Schizosaccharomyces pombe: one gene and its partners. The gene in region 1 interacts genetically with each later gene. Each region holds a gene or a part of one and is shown on either strand. Other genes may lie near its edges.

Region 1 (8,338 bases):
TTCCAAAGGTCGTATAGAACACACACACAAATTAGCAAAATGGGAATTCTCGATATTGTACCTACTGGTGTTATTACAGGTGACAACGTTTTAAAGTTGTTCACCTACGCTCGTGAGCACGGATTCGCCATCCCTGCCATTAACGTCACCTCCTCCTCCACTGCTATTGCTGCTCTTGAGGCTGCTCGTGAGGCTCGTTCCCCCATCATCTTGCAAACCTCCAACGGTGGTGCTCACTTCTTTGCTGGTAAGGAATCCTCCAACGAGGGCCAAAAGGCCTCCATTGCCGGTTCCATCGCCGCTGCCCACTACATCCGTTCCATCGCTCCTTTCTTCGGTGTCCCCGTCGTCATGCACTCTGACCACTGCGCCAAGAAGCTTCTCCCCTGGATGGACGGTATGTTCGAAGCCGATGAGGCCTACTTCAAGATTCACGGTGAGCCTCTTTTCTCTTCTCACATGCTTGACTTGTCCGAGGAGCCCAAGAAGGAGAACATTGCTCAAGTTAAGGAGTACTGCAAGCGTGCCGTTCCCATGAAGATCTGGATCGAGATGGAGATCGGTATCACTGGTGGTGAGGAAGACGGTGTCGACAACTCTCACGTCTCCCACACCGAGCTCTACACTCAACCCGAGGACATCTGGGATGTCTACCGTGAGCTCTCCTCCGTTACCCCTTACTTCTCCATTGCCGCCGCTTTCGGTAACGTCCACGGTGTCTACAAGCCCGGTAACGTCAAGCTCCAACCCGCTCTTTTGGGTCAACACCAAGCCTATGTTAAGGAGCAACTCAAGACCACCAACGACAAGCCCGTTTTCTTCGTCTTCCACGGTGGTTCCGGTTCCTCTGTCAACGAGTTCCGTACTGGTATCAAGTGCGGTGTCGTCAAGGTCAACATTGACACTGATACCCAATTCGCCTACGTCGAGGGTGTCCGTGACTATGTCTTGAAGTACAAGGACTACCTTATGACCCCCGTCGGTAACCCCGAGGGAGCTGACAAGCCCAACAAGAAGAAGTTCGACCCTCGTGTCTGGATCCATGAGGGTGAGAAGACCATGACCAAGCGTGTTCTTACCGCTCTTGAGGACTTCTACACTGTCAACACTCTCTAAATTTGTGGTTTTTGAAAGATGGAAATGATTGAATAGACGGTGGGCTTCATTAAAATTATATTTTTTTGTCCCCTTAATGAGAGTTCATACTGTTTTGAAATTACGTGTTTGAATATAGAGACATTGTTTTTTAAAATTACCATTGTAAAAGCATAAGAGATATTTGAAGTAAAGTAGGGCAAAGTAAGTTAAGAAATTTTTTTGGATTGGATTTGTAAAGTGTTTTTCAAGCATACTGTATATTGTTAAGATTTTTCTTTTTATCCTTTTATTCATCTTCCTTAATTGGTTAATGTGTTCTTAGGTATATAAATTTACAAAAAAAAAATTTCCGATTCCACATGACAATGAATGAATAAATAATATGTCCGTGCGTTTATTTGAATTTAATATATATCGTTTGGCAAATCTCGATGAGTAGCTTAAAACAACATAATCGCTTGAATTTCATGTGCTTTGTGTACACAGTGTGCATTGTTTAGTAGATCAACTTTTTCTTCTTTCATTGCAATGAGTACGGGCATTTTCCCTTTTCCTCCATATTTCACGAATCCATGTTTTTTTTAGATAACCCTTTCTCAATCAAAACTCAGCATGCTTCTTCAGACTTGACCACTTATATTGTCAGTACACTACTGCTCCTTAAAAGCTTACTCCAAGTCAAGACATCAAGGTTGGAGCAATCATTCTCTTCATGAGGTACTATGGCTGATTTTCTTGCTAGAGATTATCGCTCTCAAGGTGAGGCGGCGCATGAAATGCTGCCGACTTTCCTTATAGGAAAAATCTTGAGAGAACGCATAGTAGATTCTATTTACTGGAAAGAACAATGTTTTGGATTGAATGGTATGTGTTCTTCATTGACAGAAAAGGAAAGTGTTTTTACATATTAGAGTTCAAGTACGATTACTTTCCAAATCGATATTTTGAGTGATATAGCCTAAATGAACTTGATTTGGCAAGCAAAGAAACCAAGTATAGGTACTTGCTGTTTTAATCAGTCCTCAAACTGTTATTCCAAATTCACTGACTAATACATCTTAGCTTGTTCATTGGTGGATCGTGCAGTACGGCTTGAATATATAGGTGGTCAGTATGGAAATCAACGGCCCACCGAGTTTATCTGTTTGTTATACAAGCTTTTACAAATTGCACCTGAAAAAGAAATAATTCAACAGTACCTATCTATTCCTGAATTCAAGTATTTACGTGCCCTGGCTGCATTTTACGTTCGGCTTACATGGGATGATGTGGAAGTGCATCAAACGTTGGAACCGCTGTTAAGAGATTATCGGAAATTAAGAATTCGTACTAATTCTGAGATCCGATTAACATATCTGGATGAGGTTGTTGATGATTTGCTAAATGCCGAAGTAGTTTGCGATATTTCCCTGCCCCCATTGCGAAGTCGACTCCAACTTGAAGATTTGGACTTGCTTGAACCACTTTCATCTTCTTCAGACGAAGAAGATGATGATGAAGAACAAATTAGTAAATTGGAGAGCAATGAAGGTGCTGTAGATCGGAATATTTAAGGATAAGTAATATACAAAAAAAGAGTAAAGCGAAGCACGCATTTTGTGATGCGTCTACGATTTAACTTGGAATGACTCTACAAGGAAAAGTTATGGATTGAAATGGTTTTACACTTGAACTTATTAAAAAACAATTTATGAATAACAAACATCTAATCAAATAGATTTGTATATTAATATATATCGATTTCACATATTATCGCAAATACGCTATTTTTTCTTGTAAACAAATTTCGATAGACTTAGTTTACAGCACACTAAATATTTATAAAATGTCTTTGATACGCCACGGAATTTTTTTCACACCATACTTTAACGAATCACCCCATTCCGTCTATTTTCTTACGTTTCGTTAAAAACATGTCAGTCCACTTCTTTTTTGCTCACATATGAATTAACACGACTTTTCTCTTTCATCCATTACCATACTCGAGCAATCCTAACTTTGCTTATCGGGTGATCGATTTTAAATTTTTTTACTTATAGGACGTCCAGTAGCCTTTATAAGTTCATTGACAACAATTGGGTTGTTGCTGAGAGTTTGTTTACTGCGCTCGACTCTTGCTATAACCTAATCTTAAACGATTATCAAGCTGGATTTCCTTCTTGCTAAGAACATTATTTTATTTTACAACTCATTCAAGAAATTATTTTGCTATCTATCGCCTTGGATAGCTTTTAATGCGTCAAATTTTGGATAATTTGTAGCTCGATTAGAAAATTCGCTCAACATCCTATACAGTCACAGAGATAAAAAACCCTAAGAGTTAAATTCAATTTCTCTTTATTGTTGGATTTTTTAACTCGCTGTTAAATTCCGCTTGGTTCTAGCTGGAAATTTTGTTAAATATGCAAAGCTCAATTCCGTCAGTTTCCGTGTCGGTCGCTTCTCCTGCAATGGAAACTCCAACAAAAGCTTCGCCTGACAGCAAATCACCCAATTCAGTGGGTGCGATTCCTTCTTCATCCCCTTTGGCTTCATCGACAAAGGCTTCAACTTCTACTCCCTTTGTGGAGAATTGTTCCAATCTGTTGTGTGATTTGGCTAGCATTGTCGAGGACTCACCTCCAACCTTGACCAACACCTCGTTGTCTCCCCATTCGTTTTCCCTTTCTGATATGGAGTCATCAATGAGCAATTGGCTTAACCCTTTTGCGTTCGACAATACGATGAACTCGGCGCCTCCTCTGTTTACTTCGACCAACATGGGCTCCCCTAACTCGTTAGAAAACTCTACAAATCCTCTTCTCTCTAATTGCGGCTCTCCAAATTCATTTCAGAATGAGACCTTTACCGGCCCATCATTGAATGAGTTCGATGCCGATGATAAAATTCAGCGCCAAATGAAAATCCTTCACTCTGTTGATACAATCGATCCATCGACTGTTCAAAATTATCCTTCAGCTGATATGTCAAATCCAGAAGTCAAATTGAAAACCGAAGAAATTATTACACCCATGGACACCACTTGCAAGCCTGAACCTTCTGCCAAGAAAATAAAGTTGTCTCCTTCCTCGGAAGATTCTTGCTCAATTCCTGAAACATTACCTTTTTCGGCCCCCAAGTCTAGAGGCTCATTATCTCCTTCTGAAACCCCAGATTTTGTAGCCGGTCCTGGAGGAAAACCAAAGAAGACAGCTCATAACATGATTGAGAAGAGATACAGAACCAACTTGAACGACCGAATTTGTGAATTGCGTGATGCAGTTCCTTCACTTCGTGCTGCTGCTGCACTTCGTTGTGGTAATTCTCTGGACGATGAGGATTTGGGGGGTTTGACACCCGCTCGTAAGCTTAACAAGGGTACAATATTGGCAAAAGCAACTGAGTATATCAGACATTTGGAGGCCAAGAATAAGGAACTACAGAAGACTAACAAGCAGCTTTCAGATAGGCTGGCTTTCTACGAAGATCCTTCGATGGCTCCTCCTTCTAACGATACTCGAGCCGTTAACTCTGTTAATGTTGTTTCCTCATCTGACTATTCTGTTCACCAATCTTCTCGACCAAACCTAACCCAAAGAGCTTTTACTTCCCCAACCCTAAATACCATGGGCCGCACAGCACTAAATGGCATGGTTGGACTTGGTCTATTCAATTATTTTGGAAACGATTCTTCTCAATCTGTTTATGGTTTATTCGCTCTTCCACCTTTTCTTATGTCTCCATTCACAGGTACTGTTCTCTTTAACATGCTGAAAATTGGTGTTGTTTTACTCGGTTTATTCTATCTTTTGCACGATAACTCTCTTTTCAAAGGCTTCAAGGGTGAAAAGAAATCTAAAGTTAGTACCAGATCTTCCATGTCACCATCCTCAATCTTATTCCGAAAAACCGTATTCGAAAAGTATTGTTTATTGGACCATTCTACTTCGACTATTTCTCTATTTTTTGGATTACTGATCTTCACTCTTAAATCTGCTTATGGCTATTTGACTCATCGTTTGAGTGCTCTTTATACCTCCTCTGAGAATTGGGTTTATAGTGAGCAACAACTTGCTGAAGTTCGCAACATGGAAAAGCTTTTGGATGCCCAATTAATGGGTGGTGATGCTAAAGTTGACCGTTTGAGGCTCTTAATGGTATTTGCCAGTTCATTTTCTCTTCCTCCTTCAAGTCATACTTGTGCTTTACAAGCAATGTATTGCCAACTAATTTTTTCCAACACCTCTGTCCCATCCGCTATCGTTTCGAAGTGCGTTGCTTTCTTCTGGAATGCTGCAAAGAAACAACATAGCAAAAGTTCTGTACACGCGGAGTTACGTGAGCTTCCTGAGTGTACTGCTAACCTAATTGAAAACTCCCACGCTGACGACGTTTTCTCTCCGAATATGGTTGAGCGATTGTGGGTTCTAGCAAAGTGCACCCGTGACTCTGCTCAAATGTCAGATAGTATTATTAGCTCCTTATCTGATGTTTTGGTTTTATCTCCTCTAGAGGTGCTTGCCTCATGGTATGCCGCTGATTTGTTGGATGCCCTTTTGATGGAAAGTTTGAGCCGTAAAGTTGAGATATCCGAGATTGAGGAAATTATTTCCCTTTGTCCTAAGAACTCCTCTATTATTCGTCATGCTTTACTAGCTAAATTGGTTTTGTTCCCCGAGAATACAGCTGATTCTTTGAATGAAGTCCTTGCAGCATACAAGAACACTTTGGATTTATGCAGCCAAGATAAACGCAAGCAGTCAAGCGTGTTAAAGATCAACTTATCCAAGCTATTCACACTCCACTCATGCCTATCATTAGCACTCCAACGCCTTGGATACGGGGATGTTTCTAAACGTATGTATCAGGAAATCTTTGTACCTGATAGTGATGCAGACATTACACCTTTATCTTTTATTATTTCCTGGACCGCTTTGAACACTTTTGCTCCTATTTGCACATCTCCAAAGGAAAACGATGTCGTTGAAAAGATGGCCATGTACGTGCGGACGGCCATCGGAACTTTGAAAATTCAAGATTTGAAATTATCTCGTAAGTTAATCAACTCTTGCATAGATATTGGATCTCGCTTACAAGAAGATTTGGGTTATGTTTCATCAGCTTAAATTGTCGATTCTCGAGCTTTGAGAACAGTTAGTATACAACGCTCATCTATTGCAACTACCTTATTATTTTCCATGATTGTTATTTCATCAGTTATTTTGCGTATCATTTTTTAGTTTTAATTATTCTTTTAATAAATTACAGTTGTCGTCGGTAAGAGCAGTGATAAAAATATGCAATTAGAGTTATTTTGTTGTATCAAGCTAGCACAATTCACCATTTGAGTATATTTGGTGATTAAATAAAATGAATAGAGTACAATTTGAGGCATGCTAAGGTTCATCGAACTAACTATTTTTTTAAATAATGACACATTGGCAAGATTAAAAAATTGGATTCTTCTCTTGCAGTTAACTCTCTGCTGTTGATGAAGATGTGTTGAATCTTAGACTGCTGATATCCATTTTATACCAATTGTATAAAAAAAAGAATGTCAATTATTAATAAAATGGAAATGCATAAGATAGATAAGAGTGGTCTGAAGTTTTACGGTACAGTACGTAGTTCCGTCCTTACTGAAATCTCGGGAGTAATACGAACCATTCACCAAAGGTAAACAAACTACCAAATTGTTTTTATGTATTATTTACTACTATATTGGTTAACTTATTCTGAATCCTACAACCTAAAATAAAAATAAATAGACTCGCTTTTATTATTTGTCGATTCAAGAACTTAGCTCTCCTTTGAAGATGAACAAACATTTTGCAAAGCTTTCACAATGGACCGGTGAAAAATTTGGTTTTGATCGTCAGAAGACTACATTATCTGATGATTTTTGTTCCTTGAAAGGTGAAACGGATGCCTGGCTTGTGGGAATGGATAAAATTCATAGAAGTTGCACAAGATGGGTACGGAATATGGATAAACGAAAGGGCCTGCTCGACGAGAAAGATAAGCAATTACCTGTTACTCACGTTGGATCGTCTTTTGTAGAGTTAGGGCAAGCATTATCGCATTCTTCAAGCAATTCGCACACTTATATCATGTACGGAAAAAGCATGGTTGAAATAGGGCACCTACAGGAGGAGTTTATGGATTATTTGAACAATTCTTTTTTGGCAAATCTAGAAAATTCTTTAGCCGAGTTTAAGGCTTTAGATGTGAAGGAAAAGAAGATGGAAAATCGACGACTTGTCTTTGACGCGCTTTCTACAAAAATACAGAAGGCCAAAAAAGAAGAGTCAAAGCTTGAAGAAGATTTACGGAATGCTCGCGCAAAATACGAGGAGTCTCTGGAAGAGTTTGAAGACAGAATGGTTCAATTGAAAGAATTAGAGGTAAGTATTATCGTCCTAATGACATTCGTTACCAATTTGATGCCATAATTAAACGATTATTAGGCCTGCCTAACTTATCTTATATGACTCAATATTTTTGTTAACTAATTTTTAGCCTGATCGTGTCGAAAACGTTGTACGACTCCTACAGATGCAAATACGATTTCATCAAAAAAGTCTCGATTTGTTAAAGGGACTTGAGATGAACGGATTTTCCAAGAAGAGGGATAACGTTAATATTCCAAAGCGTACTTATTCCGCAAGATCTATTCCATCGAATATTTCTTCAACAAATGTTGCAACAACGCCCTCGAATACCATTTTTGAAATGGATGATACTTTAAAGGCCGATAGTTCTTCAAATGAATATCATTCTCCCACCAATACACTCCCTTCTTACCATACAGAAGCTGACCTGGACAATTCTTCCATAGCTTCTTCAAATAGAACACAGCATACTGAAGATAATTATAACAAGGATGTTTCGGATGCTCAAAATTCATTGGGGCAGTCTGCTGTAGATTTAACAACTCCCTCATCACCTCCAATCCCCCGTCATACCAAACCCAAACTGTCTACGACTCAAAGTACCCCAGTCAAACCGGCATCGTTACAAAGTGAGGAGGATATCCAGTTAAGTTTTAAACAACCGGAATTATCTGCTTCGTCGGCAGAATTGGATGAAAAGTTGAAGTCTCAGTGTAATGTATCCCCTTCACCTTCCAACATTTCTGATGCTCCCCCGAGCAAGCTTAATCGTAGTTATTCATCTCCACTTGCTTCCATTTCATCCAGAAAGGTAGTACGAATGAAATATTCATTTGAGCCAGAAACAGAAAATGAGTTAAAACTAAAAA
Region 2 (7,408 bases), on another chromosome or scaffold:
TGACGAGGAAATGAACATTGCTACCCCACATAAACGCAGAGTTTACGACTTGAATTCTAGCTGGATGAAACGTGGACGAAGGTGATAAGTTATTCTTATTGTACTACCGATATGTCCAACTAATTAAAAAAAGCACCTATGTCTGTTTTGCATTATAATTTATTTCAGAATCTACGAGTATATCAAACAGTCTCTTTTTTATCAAAAGTCCCGCACTTTTCTTTGACACTTTTCATACATTTGATGTAAAGTTCATTAAAAAGAAAAAGATGAGTATCTGGCTAACGTTGAAAAGCATAAAAGCTGCTATCATTTATTGTGGGATTTTTCAAAACCTTTACAAAGGTATGACTGCTAAAGCCATCGAGATTCCTTTTCAAAACGTATTTTAAGTTTCAAAAGTAATGTTGGAATTGGGTTTTTGGCATATTAAGAAAAATACTTAAGACATATGACTTATATCTCATTTTCAATATAGGGGACTCAACGAACAACCTAAGCGCGTTCATATGCATTGCGACTGCAACATGAGGAACAAGAGGAATCCGAGTCCGAATCACTATCTGAATCGGATGAACTTTCATCAAACTTTCTCTGTTTGTGAAAGATACAGCACACTAGTAATATTTAGCATCACATCATGTTAAATCCTTTAATTTTCTATGTTCGTGTATCAAGCCTCTAGTGCTTTGATAAATCAAAGATAAAGAATGTAGATATGTATAAATAGACTCATACTGTCCAATTTTTAAAATCAATATAAGTCTGAAAGTTGTGCTTGTTGCCAAAGGATGGAACAAGGCCTATTCTCTTCTTCGTAAAATCACCAGAACTTCACTTACCTTTCGATTTCTTTTTATTCATATGCTCATTATCTACAGTGCTTACCGTCCATCTAACTCTTCTGACTGGTTCCGGTTGTAAATGGAGCACATTCTCAGATTCTTCATGGCTTATTGACGCGGATTCCTCCGTACTTTCAATGGTAACTGTAGCTGATGAGGAGATATCACCTAACGGTCTTGTGAGTTCCATGGGAATTGTCAAGATTACGTTGAGTGATAAAACACGAAGTTCACTGTTTTATAAGTGAACCTTCAGTTTCGTTAACCAACTCTTCCTCTCAAGCAATTGCTTCAAGAAAAACAATTTTAGTGTAATTATTATAAAATTCCTCTGTTGTTTGAAAGACGATGGCGAAGAGTGGTGTGCACTTCAAGATGCTTGCTATTCTCTAATAGGATATTCTTCTATTCCTTTTTCTTCACTATATAAGATTGTGAGAAATCGTTACTGCGTTATATCTCCCTTAGGTTACATCTCCCTTGATGACGAAACCAAATATTGTTTTCCTAAAAACCTTCAGCTGCCTATTTCAACTTATTTGGTAAAGAGAATTAATAGACACCTACCATTTTATATTAAATTAGAGTCCTAAATTATGATAACATTCTGTAATGGTTGAATCTCAATGGGTATAATATTTCATTGCTATTGCTGTCGTTAATAAATACACTACCTACTAAACATGAAGTACAAAGAAATAATAAGTTCACATTTTAGGGAGTAGCGAACAAAATATCATTATTGCTAACCCTAAGAATCAAGTTAAAATCAAAAATCCGTCAACCAGAATACATTAGCAAACATGTTCCGTATACAAAACTTCGTTTGGTTTAAGGATTTTCAGCACTTGCTGTCATCCAAACAAAAAATTTCCGAGCCACATTAAAATTGGAACCTTTTTAAAGCATTCAAAATGTTTTCGCCAACTGCTTATTTTGACTAACAGTAATTCTCATATACAATCTCGTTTACATAGGATTGCTTAAACGACCAACCAACTGTGGGTACTTTTCAGTCAAGGCAATTTGCGTACGAGTAGCCTCAGCATATGAAAACGCATTCACCATTTCACTTTCAGTACGAGCCAGTTGTGCAGATTTCTCGAAATATTCAAGGGCTTCACGAGCTTTACCTTGTTGCAATAGGAATTGAGCCATACTGGCAATTGCAATATCACATTCGGGATCAGCCGATAGAGCCTGTCGACAAAGATTTTCAGCTTGAGATATATCTTTCTTCCATTGGAATACAGCAAGAGCCTTATTAATCAAAGGCATTGCACTCATAATTGTTAGATGTTCTCTCTTCTCAAGCTCAATTGCATGATCAAAGTTCTTGACAGCATCATCGAACTTTTGTTGATCTAAGAGTATTTCACCAAAGTAATTATAAACTTCGCTTGAATTAGGGAACCTCTTTTTACAATCTTCAAATGTCTTCATTGATTCCGCAATTGCATGAGTCTTATATTGAGCTACTCCAAGTTGGATATGGCTATAAATAAAAGAGTCATCCAATGCAATAGACTTTTGATAATCAGAAATGGCTTCTGCAAACTCACCAGAAACAAACCTAACTTGTGCACGATGATAATAAAGATCCGAATCGGTTTTATCAACAGATTCTGCATCATTCAGTACCTTCCACATTTTTTCATTATCATTTTCATCTAAATAAGCGGCTGAGAGACGAATATATGGTTGAATGAACTTGCGATCTAATTTAATAGCTGCATTAAAATTTTCCATCGAACCTTTAGAGTCACCAGATACAAATTTAAAAGTACCAACTAGATTATGAGTGCGAGCATTAACCGAAGGAGATGAGAAAGATCCCAGACAGGATTCCTTTGCTTTATCGTACGAAAGTTGATATTCACCCTTTTCTAAATATTCATAAGCCTCTGCTAAAGCAGCATCACCGTCAAATTTATTATCAAACAAAGGTTTTGGTTGAGCATGGAATGAATCGAGATAAGTCTGGATAAAGCTGGCAGCTGGCAATTTAGGAGGACGTTCCTTTAAAAGAGCAGACGACTTCTTTTCAGCAACCTTTTTTAACAATCGTTCAACGGTAGCAGTCATACTCTCATTAGCGAAGCCATCGAAAATGCAGGAAACGGTACTATCCATAAGGGCTTCATCCAATTTACCAAGTTGCTCATAAGCAGCAGAACGACGATTTAACGCTTTCACATAGCTTGAATCAAGTGAAAGAGCTTCACTTGTATCCTTAATTACTTGCTCAAAATCACCGATGGCTGCATAACAGGCTGCACGATTAGAGAAGAAAATAGGGTCATGAGAGCAGGTGATAGCCTGAGTATAATAGTCAATAGCATTAGCATATTCCTTTTGTCCATAAGCCTTATTACCAAGAGTCTTTAACTCGGCAGCCAATTTTGCCCTTTCCTCCTTCGTCATAGATTTTACCGATTCCTCAGTAGCAATTTTATCGACAGAAGAATCGCCGACCTTCTTGGCTTTAACCTTTTTTTTATTCTTCTTCTTCTTTTTTGCAGCAGCAGCAGCAGCGGCTGCTGTTTCAACATCCTTTCCAGTTTCTGAGCTTTTAAGATCCTCTTCTTTTACGACCTTTGCAGCTTCATTTTTTCCTTCATTAACTTTGGATTCAGCCTTATCTTGATGAGCCTTAAGTTTTTTAGAACGTTTATGACTAGCTTTTTTCTGTTGTACATGATAAACACCCCCAACTGTAGCAAAAACGGCAACAGCACCAATAGTGTAAACAAATGTCCTATGGCGCCTTACAAATGCTGAAACGGAATTTAAAACTCCAGAAGACACAATTGCCTTACCATTTTCTGCATTGGATATACCAGACATGGTATTGGTTTTGGCTAGGTTGGTACCGATTCATGACCACTATACTTCAGCAAAGTGAATGCTACCTTATTGCATTGCTAACGAACTGCAAAGCACATTCATTGACAAAGGTTAAGGAACTAAAACTTGATTACGAAGTGATAGAAAACAAAAAAAGAAACGGTGAACAGCAGTTTAATAGGAGCTATTATTATGAAATGGTGATAATTTGCACAGGTGCTAGTTTTATTAATTCTACTCAATTCCGCATCAAGTAGGAATTTAAAAAAAACTGCTCCAGCAGTGACTTGAACACTGGGCCTCTTGCTTACTAGGCAAGCGCTCTACCACTGAGCTACAAGAGCTGATGTTATCCCCGTATAAAATACAATATATAGAGAGCGTAGTAAAGAAGTTTACCTTAAACAATGAAACGTATTGACTGTATTTGTTAATTACACAATGCACTTCTTTTGGATTCTGATTATCTAGAGCCCTTTTATTTGTCTTTAAAAAGATTTGTTAACTTGATTGTAGGTTGAACTATGTTTTGAATACAATTGAAGAGTTGCGACCAAAATCTATTACAGTTGTTGCCTGTATCTTATAAGCTATCTATTATTTAAAGCATGGTTTCTTAAGTTGTAAATGACATTTGGAAATGACTATTCATGTTTTGAAGTTTAGCATCAACGTATGGTGTTTAGGTTGTCTAAAAATTTAGTTAAGAGGAAATTTGGCATCGCTGTCCCCTAAGGATGAATAAGCTATGCAAATCCATGTAAAGTAATGATGATATTCAGCTTTCATGTATTCCTCATTTCAATAGATCCAAACTTATTTGAAGCTGTTTTTTTATTTGTCTTTCTCGCCAGCTTCAATATTGAAGGTTCGATTTTTTTTGTACTTCTTCTTTCCTTACGTCCTCATGATATTCGTATATCAAAACGTTCCAGTCTTAGATTTAATGTTGGACGAATGCCTACGTAAAAATATAAAACGTTTATCGTTCGATAGTAACTAATTTGATTTTACCCGAAGATTAAGAACAAGAAATATATGATTCATTCAAACTTTTATATTTCCAAAATTTTTTTAACAGGATACCACAAACTCATGATGTATTATTTCATTTAAATCTCAAAAACCCACAAAATCTATTTCCAGGTTTTATTGAATGCATGATTTATTAAATATATATACCTCTTTAACATTCATTGAAAAAGTGTATATCCTATTAAGGAAGATCAGAAAGTATGTGTTTTTTTAAATACAACAGCAAAGTTCCGATTGACAAATTATATGTTAGCTTCTGTGACGCCGAAATTTACGTTTTTTTAATTTGTAAGAGGAATAATTCTGGCTTACTTGTTTTCCAATAACAAGCCCGTTTCTCATAATCTTTTTATTTTGTCGTTCACTCTGCAGATCTAAAAATGGTGACGAATCTTTGCTAGCAGTTGTATCTTCATTGTCGTCAATGCCATTTTCCGCATCTTCGTCTATTTCAGGAAGACCTTCTAAATGACTTTTGGAAAGATTCATTGAAGGGGGCACTAAAACGTTAGTTCAGGTACAAACAGGAGAAAACCTTACATTTAACAAGACGATTTTGTCGTTTAATTTTTTTCTTCATAGGTTGTGATATGTCTCTATCTACAAGGCTTTCTGAAGATGAGCTACTAAAGCTTTCAAACTCCTGCAATATCTTCTCTTCATTTGATCCGTAATCATCTTCAATATCTTTTAACTCACGAAGCATTTCACTGAGACTTTTTCGGCATGGCGCATTAACTCGAAGTAAGTTAGGAGATGTATAAACTTGAAGGCGATATGAAGAGGGGGTTTCAAGAACGGTGGGAGTATGTTGAGCCACAGGTTCGGGATTTTTTGATGGAGTAGTCGGTATCATAGTTGATGAAATTTCACTAGTGTTATGTTTTATATCCGAAATTTGATCCACATGAGAATCTGCAATGGGAGACATGTCTTCAAGAAGGTTAAGTACTCGACGTGACAACTGTGGAGTAGGACCTAAAAGACTTTTATCCACAGTTTTCGGAGTAACCTGTAGATAATCATTTCGGGGCGCTTTAGGACTCTCGTTCGCTTCAGTTTCAGCACGCTGTTTTGTAGGAGTTTGAAACTTAAAGTCGACCTTTGTTTTTGCTTTTTTAGGGGTAATGGAGGATTCGCGTTTCAACTCGTAGTATTGCTTATATAAAAGCGCTAAAAAAGTTCGTTAGTTTGCTTCAAAAATTCAAGTGTATCTTTGGCTTACATACCTATTTCTGGTTGTTTCTTCACATCCTCCTTAGAAGGTTTGCAATTGTTCGTATGGACGTACTCATGTTCCCACTTCTTTAAGAGCGCTTTTATACTAGATATTTGTTTAGTTCGTGATTCATCGTGCATGATTTGCCAATTAATGCACTGCCTGGACCCAATTTCAATTTTGTAGTGTTCGATTCAAACAACTGCAAAAACAAACTCAAAACAAAAAGAGAGGCTAATCTACATAAACATATATTTCTTCTAATTCTATATGTGGAGAAATACCATTGCACAGAGTTTGATACGTATCTCGAAATGCAAAGTTGAAATGTTAATTATGCTTTAAAAGTAAAGTAGATGCACTAATGAATGCTCCATTTTACTGCTGAATGTTTACGCATACGTTAAGCAGTTTTTTAAATTTAAATAACGTATAACGTTTAAGTACGCTGTCGTTTCCTTTTGATTTATGGTTGAGCTGTATGTAAATAACCTTTGTTTTTAGCTAAACTTATTACAATATGACTGTTCAAATCGATGAATTGGACGACAAAGATTTGGATGAGATAATTGCAAACGGAACACTTGATGGCGCGTAAGTGTGAATACTGAACAATCTTAACTATGGACTCGATTGAGCCTCTAAAATAATGAAAATTCTCTAACAATTTTCTTATAGTAAACAGGGAGCTGTGGATTCAGAGACGATGATTCAATATTATCGCCATCTTTTTCCGTGGAAATATTTATTTCAATGGTTAAATCATGGTCCGGTAGTCACTAATGATTTTGCTCATCGGGAGTTCGCGTTCACACTTCCTAATGATGCTTATATTCGTTATTTATCTTTTTCAAATTGGGAAGAGTTAAAAAAGGAAGCTTTAAATTTATGCCCAAGCCGATTTGAAGTTGGACCCGTTTATAGTGCCAATCCCAGGGACAGGAAAACAATAAGGAAGTCAACATTTCATCCGCTTAAAAAGGAACTCGTTTTTGATATAGATATGACTGACTACGATGATGTACGAACCTGCTGCTCAAAAACAAATATATGCGAAAAATGCTGGCCATTTATTACGATCGCAGTTCAAGTTTTAGATATTTGTTTTCATGAGGACTTTGGATTTAAACACATATTGTGGGTATACTCTGGTCGAAGAGGTATTCACGCTTGGATTTGTGACGAAATTGCTTGTTCTTTAGACGATCGGTCTCGTAGAATGATTGCCAGTTATTTACAGGTTGTAGTAGGTAATCCTCAAGGTGGCGTACGACTTATTAATAACTTAAAAAGACCCCTTCACCCACATTTGACTCGTTCTCTCAACATTCTCAAATCGGCCTTTGTAAAAATTGTCCTTGAAGACCAAGATCCGTGGGCTTCTAAAGAAGGAGCCGAAAACCTTTTGAAATTACTACCAGACAAGGATTTAGCATCTGCTCTTCGTAAAAAATGGGAGGTT
Region 3 (7,779 bases), 840 kb from region 1:
TATTGCCATTCCTACCGCTACTACAACCACCACAGTACCACCACCGCTTTTTTTACGCATCCTTTCCCCATCTCAAACGTACGGGATAATTCTCTCAAAGCGTGGAATCAAACCCTTTGTTTTAATTGTTTTTTACTCGTTCACCTGCTATTTGGTGGGCTGTCTGACTTTTGTTTTCTCATTGGCTAGTTGGATTGTTGGACAAGGTTGTCTTATCATTGCATCGATATACCTCATTTCCACCCGTTGATTGATCAACCCTTGTAAACTTAGCCTTTGTTTGCTATAGAAACGGCTTAGTCACTTGTCGTTCTTATTTTGGAAATCGTTCTGTCTTTTCCCTATATCGCCTACTTCACGTTACTGTTAGTTTTGATTGAGCGAAGCAGTTTTAACGATACGAATCAAATTGAATTGAATTTTTTTATTCACAATCCCAATCATCGTCTTATTTTTTTTTAAACCACCATCAATCTTCCTTCTTACAATCCAAGTGGTTTTGCTTTAACTTGGACTTTGTGGTTATTATTGGTTTTTTGTATTTATAATAATTTTAGGATTTCGGGTTTACCTTTTTTTGTTGATATAATATATATCTTTTTACTTAGAAAAAGAAAAGAAAGGAATATATACATTTCCAAAGTGTGAATTACTTGGTTTCCCTCTCTTTACTTGTTTTTGTTGCTACTACTACTACTACTACTTTTGTTGTTCAATTGGTCTTGTCGTCGTTTCTCGGTCTTTCATTTTTACTCAGCATCTTTTTAATTGTCTTTTTTTGGTGACATTTCCTCTCACCTGTACTATCTGCCCCGTTAGCCTATACTATTCGTGTTTAACGTTTTAAATTTTTTCCTTCATTGCATTTGTTGAAGTGCAGTTTATTTGAAGAAAAATTATTTTTGGCTTTGCTTTTTTTTCGCAATCGTCTCTTTCTTTTCAGCTTTAACGTTGTATAAATTAGATTAAACCTTTAAAAAGAGAGAAAAATAGATACCTAAAGACCTTTTGCTTGGCTTGTTTTATTATTTTCACAAAAAAGTTTTTAATATTTTTTTTATCTTTTCTGGTTTTTTTATTCTTATTTTTTATCTTTTCTAATCTTTTTTTTAAACTCTTTGACTTTAACATGGCTCTTAATAGTCAACCCCCTTTGTCCCCCAAACCCGTTCCCTCCAATACCTGGAAGCGGATCGGCATCGATGCATTTGCCGCTACAGCCGCCAGTGCCATGATTTCTCCCTTTATCTTGACGATCGACCGCTCAATCGTCGAAAATACTAGTGGCCGTTCTACTTTATTACGCTCTGTTAGTCGCTCCATCAAATATGTTTTATCAAAGCCAGGCGCCTTCTTTTTTAGCGCTCCCTTTGCCCTGGTCTTTACATTATACTCGGGCACATATATGACGGCCAATTCCATAGACACACTGGATAACATTCGTCACAAGAATCCCGTCTTCAAGGCGGAAACTTCCGGCTGGTTTAAATTCTGTTCTGTCACCGCTGCAAACAGCGGTTTATCCATCTTGAAGGATAGTTTCTTTACCAAATTTTGGGGCACCGGTTCTCCTCGTCCTCTCCCTTGGTCTTGTTACGGTCTTTATGGACTTCGTGATGCACTCACCATCGCCTTTTCCTTCAACATACCTCCTATGATTGCTCCATTACTCCCCGGTGGTTTAATCACCGCTCAATTGCTCACCCCCTGTGCCGTACAGTTTATTAGCACACCTCTTCATCTCCTGTCCCTTGACATTTATAACAGAGGTGGACCTAACATATCAGCAGCCAACCGCGTTATGCAAGTTCGTAAGCATTTACTAAAAAGCACATTCGCCCGTATGGTTAGGATTCTTCCGGCTTTTGGTATTGGCGGTGTTACTAATCGTAAATTACGAACCACTTATTTGGATTCGCTTCAACAACGTACTATGAAAAAACAACAATTTGCTCTTGCTTAGTCCATACATGACGTTCTTTCCTTTTTCTTTCGGCTATTATTATTATTATTATTTTATTATTATTATTTTTCATCATTTTTTTATTATTCACTACTGAATAGTGTCTAAAAAGTGTGTGGACTACGGTTTAAACCTATATAAGGAAAGTGGCATACATCCTGTTATCTGGAACATGAAGCTGCATACTTTTTTGAATGAACTATATAGTGTATGTGTAATGAAGGTTTCACTTAAAAAAGTTTTCTACTTGATTTTTATGCGTCTGAGTTTTTTCTTTGTCTGGAGAAGAATTTGAAGAAAAAAGAAAAACTGCAAGAGAAAATAAAGAGGCAAAGAGACACATGGTTTTCTTTTGTACATTAATAAATAAAATTTGAATTCTATTTTAAGTCATTTTCGTTTGTGTTTAGTATGGTTGAGTATCAAATTTGTGTATGTCAAAAAACGAGCAACCGTAAAGACCGCTTGTTTAGCAAATTTATTCTTTTATCGTTCGTTTACAAACAGCTTTTGCCGATAGTGTTTTACGGTCTTTGAATGGGCTTTCGGTAGAAACCTAAAACCGATAAACAGAGTGAGATTATTTCTTTTTGCATTCCAATGTTGACCAGAAAGACGATAGCTTATTCCTATCTACTAGCTTACTGAATGGTTCAAAATGTACCGTACTACGGTAGCCATATTAATTGGTTCGTCAAAATAAATCCTAAAGTGTATAGCAACGGTTTTTTCAAAGCTCACCTACTTTTTACTGATCGTCATTATAATTAGTAAAACAATAAACACCTACTAGTAGAATCGCCGATTTACCATAATTTCGTATTGCGCTTAATTCTCTTCCCGAGGTATTTTGTTATTGCGATGGCTTGCCACAATAAATTAACTATTGTACGATTGCCGTCACACTATTTCTATCTAAAAATACTCTCATTCCCATTCCCATTTTTATCTCTCCATCCATACTTACTACATATGTTGGATATCTATATCTGTCAAACTTTAACTTCGTTGAACATGCTAATTAACCAAAATTAATACATGAATTTATTAAATAGTTTTTTATTAATTAATAGAAATTTTCAAAAAGTAATCATTGAAAAATCGAACTATATTTTTTTTTTTTATATTATAGCAGTATATAGGTGCAGGAGTTACCAGCGACCAGGTATTAGCGTTTGCCAAAACAATTAGCTTTTCTCCCGAAAGGATTGCTTTTTGAAGTCAATTACTTTAGAAGCTTTCTAGCATCTATTTGATTGTTCAATTGGCATGGTTATTGTGCTCATCATATAAAGCGCAGTTGTTTCATTAATTAAGTATCTTAGCCTACATACTTCATCTTGATTTTTATAGATTCTTTAGAGTATTTGGATAAATACTTGACTTTTTGTTTAAGAGGCTATAGAAACCCTTGTTTGAGTTTCTTCATTTTTATTGTCTCGCGCTTTAGTGTATCTGCTTCAAAGTGGTTCAAGCTAAAAAAGCATAGTACTGTTTCGCTCTTTATTTCGCATCTGCCTATCATCAGACAATTCTGTTGACTCACTCGTTTTTTACACGCACATTTACCCTTGGAATAAAAGGCGGATTAAATCCCGAAGTTGAACACTCGTAAAATTTGGTTATTATATTTTTTGCATTATGAAGACTTATGAATATGTATTGCTGGTCATTATTTTGATCCTTAGCTTGTGTTACTTTATTTATAACAATTTTCTCAACAAGCCAAAGGCTCCTGAGAGGCGAGTCGTGGCTACCGACAGTATTGTCGAGTTGATGGAGGCCGAAAAGCTCACTGCCGCGGTTTTCTTTGGATCTCAAACTGGTACCGCTGAGGACTTTGCCTACCGTTTTTCAACGGAAGCAAAGGCAAACTTCAATCTTACCAATATGGTTTTCGATCTTGAGAACTATGATTTAACCGACTTGGACAACTTTGATAGATCAAAACTATTGGTATTCTTTCTCGCAACTTACGGTGAAGGTGAACCTACGGACAATGCGGAGGCCTTTTTGCAACTTCTTGAGGGCGATGATACCGTTTTTTCAAGTGGAAAAGGCATTGAAGATACTCCCTTCGAAGGAATTCGTTATGCAATTTTTGGCCTTGGAAATCATACCTATGAGTATTATAACGCAATGGCTAAAAAGGTAGATGCTGCAATGACTCGTTTAGGCGCTACTCGTGTGGGCAATCTAGGTTTGGGCGACGATGCCGCTGGTATGCTTGAAGAGGACTATTTACAATGGAAGGATGATACTTTACCTGAGATAGGTAAGCTGTTCCATTTGCAAGAAGTCCACAAGGAATACAATCCTATGTTTGAAGTTATTGAGAAGCCTGAAATTTCCAACACTAGTTCTACTGTCTTTTTGGGAGAACCAAGTCGTCAGCAATTGAAAGGAAATGTTGCATCGAAAGCTCCACGTTCTCAAGCTAATCCATTTTTCTCTTCTCCTGTCAGATCTCTTGAGCTATTCAAATCTGGAAGTCGTAATTGCTTACATTTAGAGTTGGATATCGCAGACTCTGGTATGCGATATCAAACAGGTGATTACGCTTCTATTTGTCCTATGAATCCTAGTCAAGCTGTTGATGATCTTCTCGAAGTTCTCGGTCTCAAAGAGAAGAGGGATACTGTAATAATTGTTAAACCTATCGATACTCTCGATAAGGCTCCTGTTTTAAGTCCTACTACCTATGACACTGTTTTTCGCTACTACTATGAAATATGTGGTATCGTCTCCAGGCAACTGCTTTCTTTTATTGCTCCTTTCGCTCCTACACCAGAATCTAAGCAAGAACTCGAGAAATTAGGCAACGATTATGACTACTTTAAGAAGAACGTTGTAGACTTGCACCTAAACCTTGCTCAAGTCCTTCGTCGTGTTTCTCCTGACGCTCCATTTACAAAACTTCCATTCTCAATGCTATTGGAAAATATGGCACACATGAAACCGCGTTACTATTCGATTTCCTCGAGCAGTGTAGTGCATCCTGACAAAGTTCACGTTACAGCGGTAGTTGACAAGAAAGAATGGACTGATAAGAATCATATCTTTTATGGACTAACTACTAATTATTTGTTGGCACATTGTCGTCATATGCACGGTGAAAAAATTCCACATCCAAATGGTTTGGAATATACCCTTGAGGGTCCTCGTAAAAACTGGACCGGAAAAATTCCGATGTTTGTAAAGAAATCTACTTTTCGATTGGCTCCTCCCGATGTCCCCATAATAATGGTAGGCCCGGGTACTGGTGTAGCCCCATTCCGCGGTTTTGTGATGGAACGGGCTAATTTAGCTTCTAAAGGAGTTAAAGTAGCAAAAACACTTTTATTTTATGGTTGCCAATATTCTGACAAGGATTTTTTATATAAGGAAGAATGGCAACAATACAAAGATGTCTTGAAAGACTCTTTTGAACTGATTACCGCATTTTCCCGTGAGCAAGATCATAAAATCTATGTTCAGCACCGTCTTTTAGAGCACAGTGATACCATTGCTAAACTTGTAGAAGAAGGGGCTGCTTTTTATATCTGCGGTGATGCTGATCATATGGCTAAAGATGTTGTGAATGCATTGGCTTCTATTCTGACCACTGTTGATGTTGACGGTATGAAAGCCGTTAAAGCTCTTCGAGATGACAATAGATTTTTTGAAGATACCTGGTAAGTTTGGAATTTATCCAGACTTTGCGATTACTTCAAGACTTAATGATGCCTTTTCATCTTAGAAATAGTTTAATACAATCATTATTCCACTCGGTATTTTTATCTATAGAAAACATAGTTTTTGTAGCAACTAACGAACAGTACTCTGTAACGTTATAATATCAAAAATAAACTGCCAACTTGAATTTCTTACTGCTCAAAAATGTCTACCGAAAATGCGAATCTACACAAAGTGCTGTGTTTGTCATGATTGAAAAACCTAAACCGACTTAAAGCTGGGTAACAAAGTAAACACTGGCAGTCGACTTCATTGCACTTCAATAATTAAGGCGATTGCGAATGTTTGATCAATTTACATACAATAGAAAGTATTTGATAATTCTTTTTTTGCTTTAAAAATACACGCATCAAGTTAGAGTACAGGATGCTATAAGTTAAATCCTCGGTCAATGTGTACTTGTCAACGCAAAACATTGAGTAATATGCGGAAAAGTTAAGTTTCCAAAAGTACAAGCATAATTAATACATGTATCCTAACTGTATAATAAAACTGAGCCTTTAAGTGTATTTTTTTTCTACGTTATCAAATCTAATGCAACACAATGCTATCCTTGATTTGTTTATTAACAGATTTCGCGCGCTCAAAAACTTACCTTTAACATATATTCAAACATTAAAGTATACATAATTTAAAAATTATTTACTTAAAGCATATAAGAGCGATGAATGGAATAATTACGCCTCAAAAACAAAAACAATTAATGTCTTCTCCTTCTCGTGATCCATTATCCACTACCGAATTGTCTACTCCAACAAGTCAAACAACTGTGGATGTCAATGACACGAAAAAAAGTGAAGGATTGGACTCTACAATTATACTATTAACACCAGGAACAAGCCCAAACGCAACGCCTGGTTCTAGCGAGTTAGGGCTTTCCAAGAAGCCAAACAGGTAAAGGGCTATTACAGATGTGTAATGTAATACTAACTAGGAATATAGTATAAAAAACAATACTTATTCTACAGCAGCACAGGCCGCGTATTTAAATAGGCGTGCTGCTGATCAATCAACCGTTATGACAACCGATCCTATTTCATATGCAAATAACAATATTAATAATGGAACACTGCCACAACAAAACGCCTACTATGCCAACTCTTATTATCCGTCATACTATGCACAGTCACAAGCCATTTCCAACAATCGACCGGGTGTCTCTGGATTCCGTCCTGCATTCAATTCTGTAGCTCCTTGCTATGGTTCACAATGGCAGACTCATCAGTCTGTTCACCCTTATCATGTTAACAATACTCATCAGTATTTAAAACCATATGTTCAGAATGGTATGATACACAGCTTATGAAAAAACTAATACTTACCAAACTTTTCGTCTTTTAGTATATCCTCAAATGCCCTCTTTAAATCAGCCGGGACTTCATATTGTCAATCAACCAACATATCTCGCGCCAGTTCCTTCAGCGACTGTGCCTACGAATTCAGTTTCTCTCTCGATGCCTTCTTTTTCCCAAGGGCAAAAAAATATTCCCGCTGCCATTAATCAAGAAATGAGTGTCGGTACAACAAAGGAGAATACAAATTACCTTTCTCAACTGGTTGGATTGCATCCTGCAATTCCTCCTGCCATTCCCAGCATGTTTCCCATGTCTCATGATAATAAAAAAAGTAACATGGAAAGCACTTCTCGTACTCGGAATGTTTACATTCGTGGTTTACCTCCCAACACTTCGGATGAAAATTTGTTGCTTTACACCAATCGTTTTGGTAAAGTTAGTAGCAGCAAAGCAATAATTGATATGGAAACGAATTTATGTAAAGGATATGGGTTTGCATGCTTTGAAGAAGAGAAATCTGCATTGATTTGCATTTCAGCCATGACTTTATGTGGATATCAGTGTTCATTTGCAAAAGAAAGTTTCAGTGCACGTCTTCAAAGTCTACAAGACACAGAAAGCACCAATCTGTATATTTCTAATCTTCCTCTTCATTGGAATGAAAGTGATATTTCCACATTGTTTAAACCCAGCAAAATCATATCAAACCGCGTACTTCGTGACTCTAAGGAACAATCTCGAGGTGTTGGGTTTGCTCGTATGCAAGATCGTAAAACGGCTGAAGAC
Region 4 (7,396 bases), 950 kb from region 1:
CCTGAGATATCGTATTCAGAATGAAATCCAAATATTTTATTTTTCAACTCCTAAATTAAAAAATGATTTAATTATAAAGGTTACTTTTCAATGCTGGTTTAAATATTTCGTTTGCATCTGCAATGGTATATTTCTGCGTAGCAATGTACGACCTCATATTTTCAACAAAGATGACCACTGAGAAAATTGTTGAGCAGCTATATGAAACTGGAGATTATGAAAGGTATAAAAGATAGGCTTTCTTTTTTAAAAAAAAAATTTTATAACTAAACAACAATTTAAAAAATGTAGGCTAGCAAATGAATTAGAATACAAACTTGAATCCTGCGGTTGGACAACTCAATTACGTGACTACACTCGGGGAATTGTGAATTCCGATTCTAAAATTGATTTTCAAAAGCTATATGAGAGCGCCTTGCAGTCTGCAACTGAAAGTATTCCCGATTCGGTTAAAATGGACTTGCTCAAAGACATTAAGACCTGCGTTCTAAAGTTGGCCAATCCTCCTGAGTCAGCAAATGGAGGGAATAAAATGTAACACAAAAATAAAAAATTATTGTTTTTCTAGTTTTTTGGTGTCGAAGTGATGCACCATGCATGAGGGTACTCTTTGGTTACATTGGATCATTTGAGACTGAAACAGTGAGAGGAAAAAATAATAAGGATATTACTAACAACGATTCTATAATAAAAGGTACACAATTAAAAATTGTTGGATTCATTATGTTATGATACGGTTTCGTTCCTCATTCTATATATTTGCAAATATGCTCTTATTAGCAAGTCGAAGAATTAATAGCAATTTTCAAAATCTTGGAAGAAGAGCATTTGCACATAATTATAATTTTTAAAATTTTCTACAATATTTGATAGTGCATCATTTCGCTTTGTACAAATGTAAACAAGTTTTCATGCAGATATTAACAATTGAAGGGCCGTACAGCTTTAAATCTTTGTTATGGGATAACTGATTATAAAATATGACCAAGATATAAAAGCCATCGAGTAATCTCAGGAAATCACAATAGTTCATGAAGTATAGTATAAGTTATCCATAAAGTTGCGCGTAACGATCAGTAGCATATTATTTAAAAAAAAAAAAAAAAAAAAGGAAAAAATAGTTAAATGGATAGTTAATAATCGTACTTCTCTAATTTACTTTCTTTTCTTTTTTTACTATTTAATCAAACACTGGGATTTCTTATTGTTATTGATTTCGGCCCCCACTTGGGACAATTTTCCTTGTAAGTTATAGACTGCTTGAATTGCGTTTTGACCTTTATAATAACCCCACTTAGGGTTTATTAATATCTTGACTACTATACAACTAATAACTATAACCTTATATGGGGGTCAATAACCCAATTTGTTCAGGCAAAGTATTTAATGCAATATTTGGCCATAGACATAAGTTTTGAAATAGAAGTATAGAAACAAATTGTTCCCTTTATTGAATATTAATTTTTAAAAAGAAATGAGATTAATTTCCGAAACCTGAAATGCGAGTTGTGGTAATAAAACTAGCTACGGTTTTTTTAAGGAATAAAAAAATAGTACTTTAAATCACAAACATCTTGAATAATTCATTTATTTGATTCAAAAGCATCAAAAGAAAGTTATCTAACTAATCAGAAAATGGAAAAGAAAACAGATTACTGTTTAAGATTCAAACTCTTTTAGCCTTATTTTGGGACTATACTGTTCTTTAAGCTCGAAGCGTTACTATCCAAATATATAGCAATAGGCAGAATTACGGATAGCACGTTGTTTTAAGCAAGCGAAGAATTAACCTGCGTTCCCTATCATTAAACAAATTCACAGTTACCGAAGTCACTCCGTAATAGGAGGTCTAAGAAAGTCTTACGATAATTCAAGAATGTTACCTATGGTGAGACCCGAGTCCATAAAAATGGGTGGGATGCTTTTCATTGCTACTATTGGGAGTTTGCCAACCACTAAAATTTTTACCTAATTGCACATTATATTCAGGTGAAATCTCAAATATAAAAACGGGATGGGGGATACTCAACAACCAACAGTGCTGGATAGATTTGCGCCTCATGCATTAGATACCAGTGAGGCAGAAAGACTTTCACGGGAATATCACAAAAATGGACCGTATAATCATGTTGTGATTCGTCCTCTGATCAATGATACACTTCTTCGAAATGTTCGTAAGGAACTTATGGAAAACATACATTTTACAGAGAAAGTAACTGATATTTACCGTGTTTGGCAAACTGGTGATCTAGCAAACTTGGATGGATTAGACAAGAAAGAGCAAAACATGCTTAAGTATTTGCGTCAAGTTCGTGATGCTCTTTACTCTGAGGAATTTCGCTCTCACGTTCAAAAGATTACCGGCTGTGGCCCTTTATCGGCTAGCAAAAAAGATTTGTCTGTTAATGTTTACTCAAAAGGATGCCATTTGATGAATCATGACGATGTTATTGGTACCAGGTGCATTTCCTATATCTTATACTTGGTAGAACCTGACGAAGGTTGGAAACCCGAATATGGAGGTGCACTCCGGTTGTTTCCTACATTACAACCATCCTTTCCTGCTGCTGATTTTTGTCACTCCATTCCTCCTCAATGGAATCAACTCTCTTTCTTCCGAGTTAAGCCCGGACATTCATTCCATGATGTTGAAGAAGTTTATGTAGATAAACCTCGAATGGCTATTTCCGGCTGGTTTCATTACCCTCAGCCTGGCGAACCTGGTTATGACGCTAATTACTGCGACAATACCGTTTCTACTTTGCAGTCTTTAACAATGAAACAAATGGACTTAGAACTTCCCCGGTTTTCATACTACCCAGTTGTTAAGCCAGAACCTTTATCCAAACAGGATACTGATATTTTAAGCAATTATATTAATCCACTTTACCTGACACCTGATGGCATTGAAAAACTATCAAAACGCTTTTTTCAAGATTCTGTTATTGTTTTAGTAGAGTTTTTAAATCAGGAATTTGCAAACACTCTCCTTAAGCGAATCATCGATGCTGAAAGGCAGCCCACTCCTATGCATTCTTCCGAAGTGTCATTCCCTTGGAAAACTGCCATTCCTCCTCATAAGCACAGGTACCTATATTTAGATCATGAAGAGTTTGGCCCTGATATTATTTTGCCCATGGATTTGCAGCGCCTTCCTGCGTTTCAGCGTTGGATCCAACTTGTCAGTGGCTTACCCCTTCGTTCCTTTCATCAAGTTGGTCGACGATTCCGCCCTGGTTCCGATTTTACGCTTGCTACTACGAATGACACAGCTTTACTAGAAGCTACTCTTTGCTTATCTCCGGGGACAGGCATTGCGAATACTGACAATGGTGCATATGATATTTATATGATTGGCGATGAAGATCCTGATGTAGATGCTGCTGTGTATAGGGGTGATCAGCAAGATGACAGTATTTTGCTTTCTTTGCCAGCCGCTTGGAATGTTTTTTCTTTGGTTTATAGAGATGAAGGTGTCCTTCAATTTGTCAAATATGTGTCGCGTCAAGCCGAATCTAGTCGCTGGGATATATATTCACAATGGAATCCCGTTGCTGAGTAAAGGCAACATATACTTAAAAGGGGTTACTTAATTTTTTTTTCTCTAATTTTTTGTCTTATTTTTGAAAGTTTTTCCCTTGTGTTTTTTAAAACCCACTTTCGTGTTGATAGTGTGTATTACATAAAAAGTTTTGGTTTACACTTTTACTGCTTTCTTAACTGGTATTCTTGTTGATTTAAAGTAAGTGTTCAATCGAACCTGTTTAAAAATCGTTCTTTTTTATTAAAAAGTCCGTAAATTTACAAATATCTAAAGTAAATTCGAATACCAATTTAAACATTAATTTTAAGATAAATAATAGATCCAATATGTTACAGTCATCATTTTTGTCGTAATCATAACACATTTATGGCAAGATGTAATAGTTCCTGCGGAGTTTTCCGAGAATTTTTGATATCTTTAGTAATACTGGGCCAAAAATAACCATGATGAGGATCAGCGGTTTCAAAACTTGTAAGCACTTCTTTCTGTTGGTCTTCGTTCCCAGCCTCTAAGCTATACTTATAAAACCAACACCACACATCTCCGTTATCTTGGTCAGCCTTAACAGCTTTTAAAAACCAACTACGCGCCTTATCTGCTTTTTTTTCCAGCCACAGCATCCTGGCGATGGTGCAAAGTAAATGTGCATTGCCTTCACATTTCCTTAAAGCATCTGTAGCACGAGTTTTACGCTGTGCGCGAGGTTCAAGCCATATAGCCTCCGTCCACAGCAAACCCGAAGATGGGCATTCCTGCAAGGCCTTAGCAAGGGCTGCACGAACTTGTGAAATATTCCCCGCCCGGAGTTCCATTTTTATAAGTTCAAGCCATAAAAATTCATTCTTAGGATTTTTAACCTTAGCCCTATCAAACACAACTCTCGCGCGTATAACGGACTGCTTTTCTTCAAGTTTGGCTAGCAAAAGCCACAAAGGTATGGAATAAGGACAAACTTTTGTGCCAGCCAAGTATGCGTCTCGAGCAAGCTCAATCTGCTCTTTATCTTCAAAAATTTGACCCTTCATCATGTACAACTTATCATAATGGGGATAAATTTTCAGTGCATTTTCCAAAAGTTGTAACGCCCGATCTTTTTCGTCCAAAATTCGTTCAAGCGAAATGGATTTAGTCCATATTCGTTCAGTTCCCGATTCGATACGAGCACGGGCAAGTAGCTTTCTGGCACGTTCATTTTCATTGTTCACAAATTCAATTCTGACAGCAGCAAGCCATATCTCTTCGCTATTAGAATTATATTCAAAAGCTCTCCCAAGAATATTCCGAGCACCAGCAATATCATTAACGTTTTTTCGCTCTTTAGCATAAAGCAACCATAAAATTTCGGCTTTAGGACATGATTCTACAGCTTTTTCTAAAATAGAACAAACACTTTCTGTTGTACCATACAGCTTTTCAAGTTCAACAGCTCTCAGCCAAAGTTTCTCACTTTTTGGATAGACTCTTAAAGAAAAAGCAAAAACAGCACGCGCACAATCTATACATTTACGAGCTATAAAAGATTGAGCATCATCTAACCAGGTGTCGAATTGATCTTCTTCATCCAATCCAACACCGAGGCACGTATTAATTATAGCTTGTGCAGTAATCACTGCCCCTTCAGTTTCGCATTTTTCAGCCTCGGAAAGCCACTGATCGCGTTGTAACATACCACCAGTAGCCTGTAACTCACTTACACCACGAGCCATTATTTTTTCCACCCGTGATACATTACCTTGCTGTTCTTCCAAACGAGCAGCAGCAATCCAAACCTCATGGGAAGTACGGATGGTTTGTCTGGCTTTATTGAGCACCTTTTTAGCATTCTCATAAGTTTCAAGTCGAGCAAGAGCTAACCATAAATCAATGGACATGGGTATTAATTCAACGGCACGAGCTAATAGTATCCTTGCATTATCCACTTCTTCTTCTAAATTTACAGCTTCTTTCCATAAGCTTACAGAAGTCGGGTTAAATTCTAAAGCTTTTTTTATAATCCTTTTTTTGTGCTGAGCTTGATTTTCAAGTTTTTCGGCTTCAAGCCATAACGTCACTGACTTTGGTAATTTTTTAACGGCATTTGCAATAATAACTTTTGCTTCTGCAGCCGGGTGTAGTCGTATTGCTTCTAGCCAAACATCCTCAGAGCGAGAACAATTTTCGCAACCTTTTAAAATTAAAGATTGTGCTTGAGATAATTTATTCGCGACCTCTTCAAGCCGCGCAGCAGCTACCCAGCCAGAGGCGTGCTTTGGATTCGTTTCAATAACACTTTGCAACAATTTTCTAGCTTTTCTTATATCACCCAGGTCATTGGCATTTTTTGGAACCATACTATTCAGACTAGTTAAATACCCCTTCGGATCTATAGTCGATGGTGAAGTCAAATTCGACGAAGCTTGTGCTAACTTGATACCTAAAACTTTGTCACGAGCAGCTCCAATTTCAACAAAATTTGTTTTTGTCCCATTCATATCTGGAGTTTCTGTTCCTGCTTGAGTATCCACTGCAAAATTAGAGATAGCTTGATTTTCATTGCGAGCACTTGCAAGAACAAAATCACTTGTTGCATAAAATCTTTCACGTCTCGGCTGTTTAGTCCTTTTTTTACGAGTTAGATCGCCGGGTTCTGGGATATTATTCCAGTCTTCATCTGTCAAAGTGGATAACCCACGTTTTAAGTCCGCAAATTGTGAAGAAACCTTGGGGTTTTCTTTTTCATATTTTTCTTTCTGTAGCTGTTCTTGTTTTTCACGTTGGGATTTTCTTCTTTTACTTAAATGTTCCTCTACAGATTGATATATTTTATCAGCTTCTTCGTCCTCATGATCATATGGAGCAGTAGCAAACAGCGCTACTTCATTGTCAGGATCCTGATAACGAGGATCGATATCTTCTTCTTCCTCTATTTCTGATTTCCTTTGTTCAATTGCAGCCTTTATAGATTCTTGGGATGGCAATTCTTGAGCAGGCCCAAGATCTGAACGCGTTGTAAATCCTGTTGCACCACGTCCTAAACCTGCTACATAGTTAGGAGGTGGCTGCATATTCAGAAAATCTGGATAAAAGTTTGCCATTCTAATTATCTGCAATTAAATGCAATAAGCCGAGCCTTTCGGCTTTATAAATATCTGGTAGTGGCTTTCAAATTTTAAAAGTAGGCAATACGAAGAAGAGAAATTAACTCCTAGCAGCTTTACTACAACAAAGTTAAAAAGAGCCATTAGGTAAAAGTAAATTTAGAAAAACTTAAGATAGAATATTTCTTAAACAAAATAAATTTCCTACTGTATGTAATGATTTTACAATCAAACGATATATAAATAAGCATTGTGATTGACTTGTTATACACTGAACCGCTAACACACGAGTATTTATGATTTAGCATTTGATAGCCAAATAAATTTATTAGATTTTTTGCAACAATTTTGAAAAAATGCATGAACAGTGTTTTCTTCCTTTCTTTTATTTTCCTACTTTTCTTTGAAGATGAATTTACACTTTGTAAATCAATGTCGTGTAAAGTATGCAGAACGGTTGAAATTACGAAAAATATTGTTCATCACAAGCTTTGTGAGTATTGGAATTAAACAAATCTTAATTGAATCCGAGTGATAACTGGACAGACGTTGCAGCAATATTTTTGCATGGCCACTACGTTTGTCTTTTAATGTCTCGGTATATTATACTGGTGTTTCAAATCAATGCTCATCGTATCTAGTATGAGTGTACCTGGACACATCAGTCAAATTTATTTTCGCTTGTAAATTGTCTTATTCTTTATCATAATGCCAAACCATTGTATTTAGAATTTTATTTGCAAAGTAATTTACCAAAACATATTTAACATCTTAA

Evidence for each region.
Region 2: of sre1 (region 1) and tom70, extra expression of one rescues a mutant of the other (dosage rescue), as found in Schizosaccharomyces pombe (one study listed by BioGRID).
Region 3: mutations in sre1 (region 1) and ccr1 together harm fitness more than expected from each alone (negative genetic interaction), as found in Schizosaccharomyces pombe (2 studies listed by BioGRID).
Region 4: of sre1 (region 1) and ofd1, extra expression of one rescues a mutant of the other (dosage rescue), as found in Schizosaccharomyces pombe (one study listed by BioGRID).

The regions. Positions count from the first base shown.
Region 1 is NC_003423.3:1,688,328-1,696,665, forward strand, and holds sre1 (transcription factor Sre1), read left to right. Parts: upstream 1-3,066; 5' UTR 3,067-3,500; coding exon 3,501-6,203; 3' UTR 6,204-6,364; downstream 6,365-8,338. Other genes in the region: fructose-bisphosphate aldolase Fba1, read left to right, coding at 40-1,116; U4/U5/U6 small nuclear ribonucleoprotein complex subunit PRP38, read left to right, coding at 1,821-1,962, 2,161-2,651; SPOM_SPBC19C2.10 (BAR adaptor protein ), read left to right, coding at 6,894-7,481, 7,597-8,338.
Region 2 is NC_003424.3:2,429,676-2,437,083, reverse strand, and holds tom70 (TOM complex subunit Tom70), read right to left. Parts: upstream 3,705-7,408; 5' UTR 3,693-3,704; coding exon 1,815-3,692; 3' UTR 1,461-1,814; downstream 1-1,460. Other genes in the region: SPOM_SPAC6B12.14C (uncharacterized protein), read left to right, coding at 1-85; SPOM_SPAC6B12.13 (protein phosphatase inhibitor), read right to left, coding at 496-617, 843-1,035; drc1 (DNA replication preinitiation complex assembly protein), read right to left, coding at 4,977-5,227, 5,268-5,900, 5,957-6,086; DNA primase catalytic subunit Spp1, read left to right, coding at 6,467-6,540, 6,625-7,408.
Region 3 is NC_003423.3:2,529,859-2,537,637, forward strand, and holds ccr1 (NADPH-cytochrome p450 reductase), read left to right. Parts: upstream 1-3,116; 5' UTR 3,117-3,604; coding exon 3,605-5,641; 3' UTR 5,642-5,736; downstream 5,737-7,779. Other genes in the region: SPOM_SPBC365.16 (uncharacterized protein), read left to right, coding at 1,130-1,963; spo5 (meiotic RNA-binding protein 1), read left to right, coding at 6,363-6,592, 6,641-6,984, 7,040-7,779.
Region 4 is NC_003423.3:2,641,212-2,648,607, reverse strand, and holds ofd1 (2-oxoglutarate and Fe(2+) dioxygenase domain-containing protein 1), read left to right. Parts: upstream 1-1,970; 5' UTR 1,971-2,014; coding exon 2,015-3,562; 3' UTR 3,563-3,882; downstream 3,883-7,396. Other genes in the region: SAGA complex deubiquitinating submodule subunit, TREX complex subunit Sus1, read left to right, coding at 144-223, 292-538; U4/U6 x U5 tri-snRNP complex subunit Prp1, read right to left, coding at 3,898-6,618.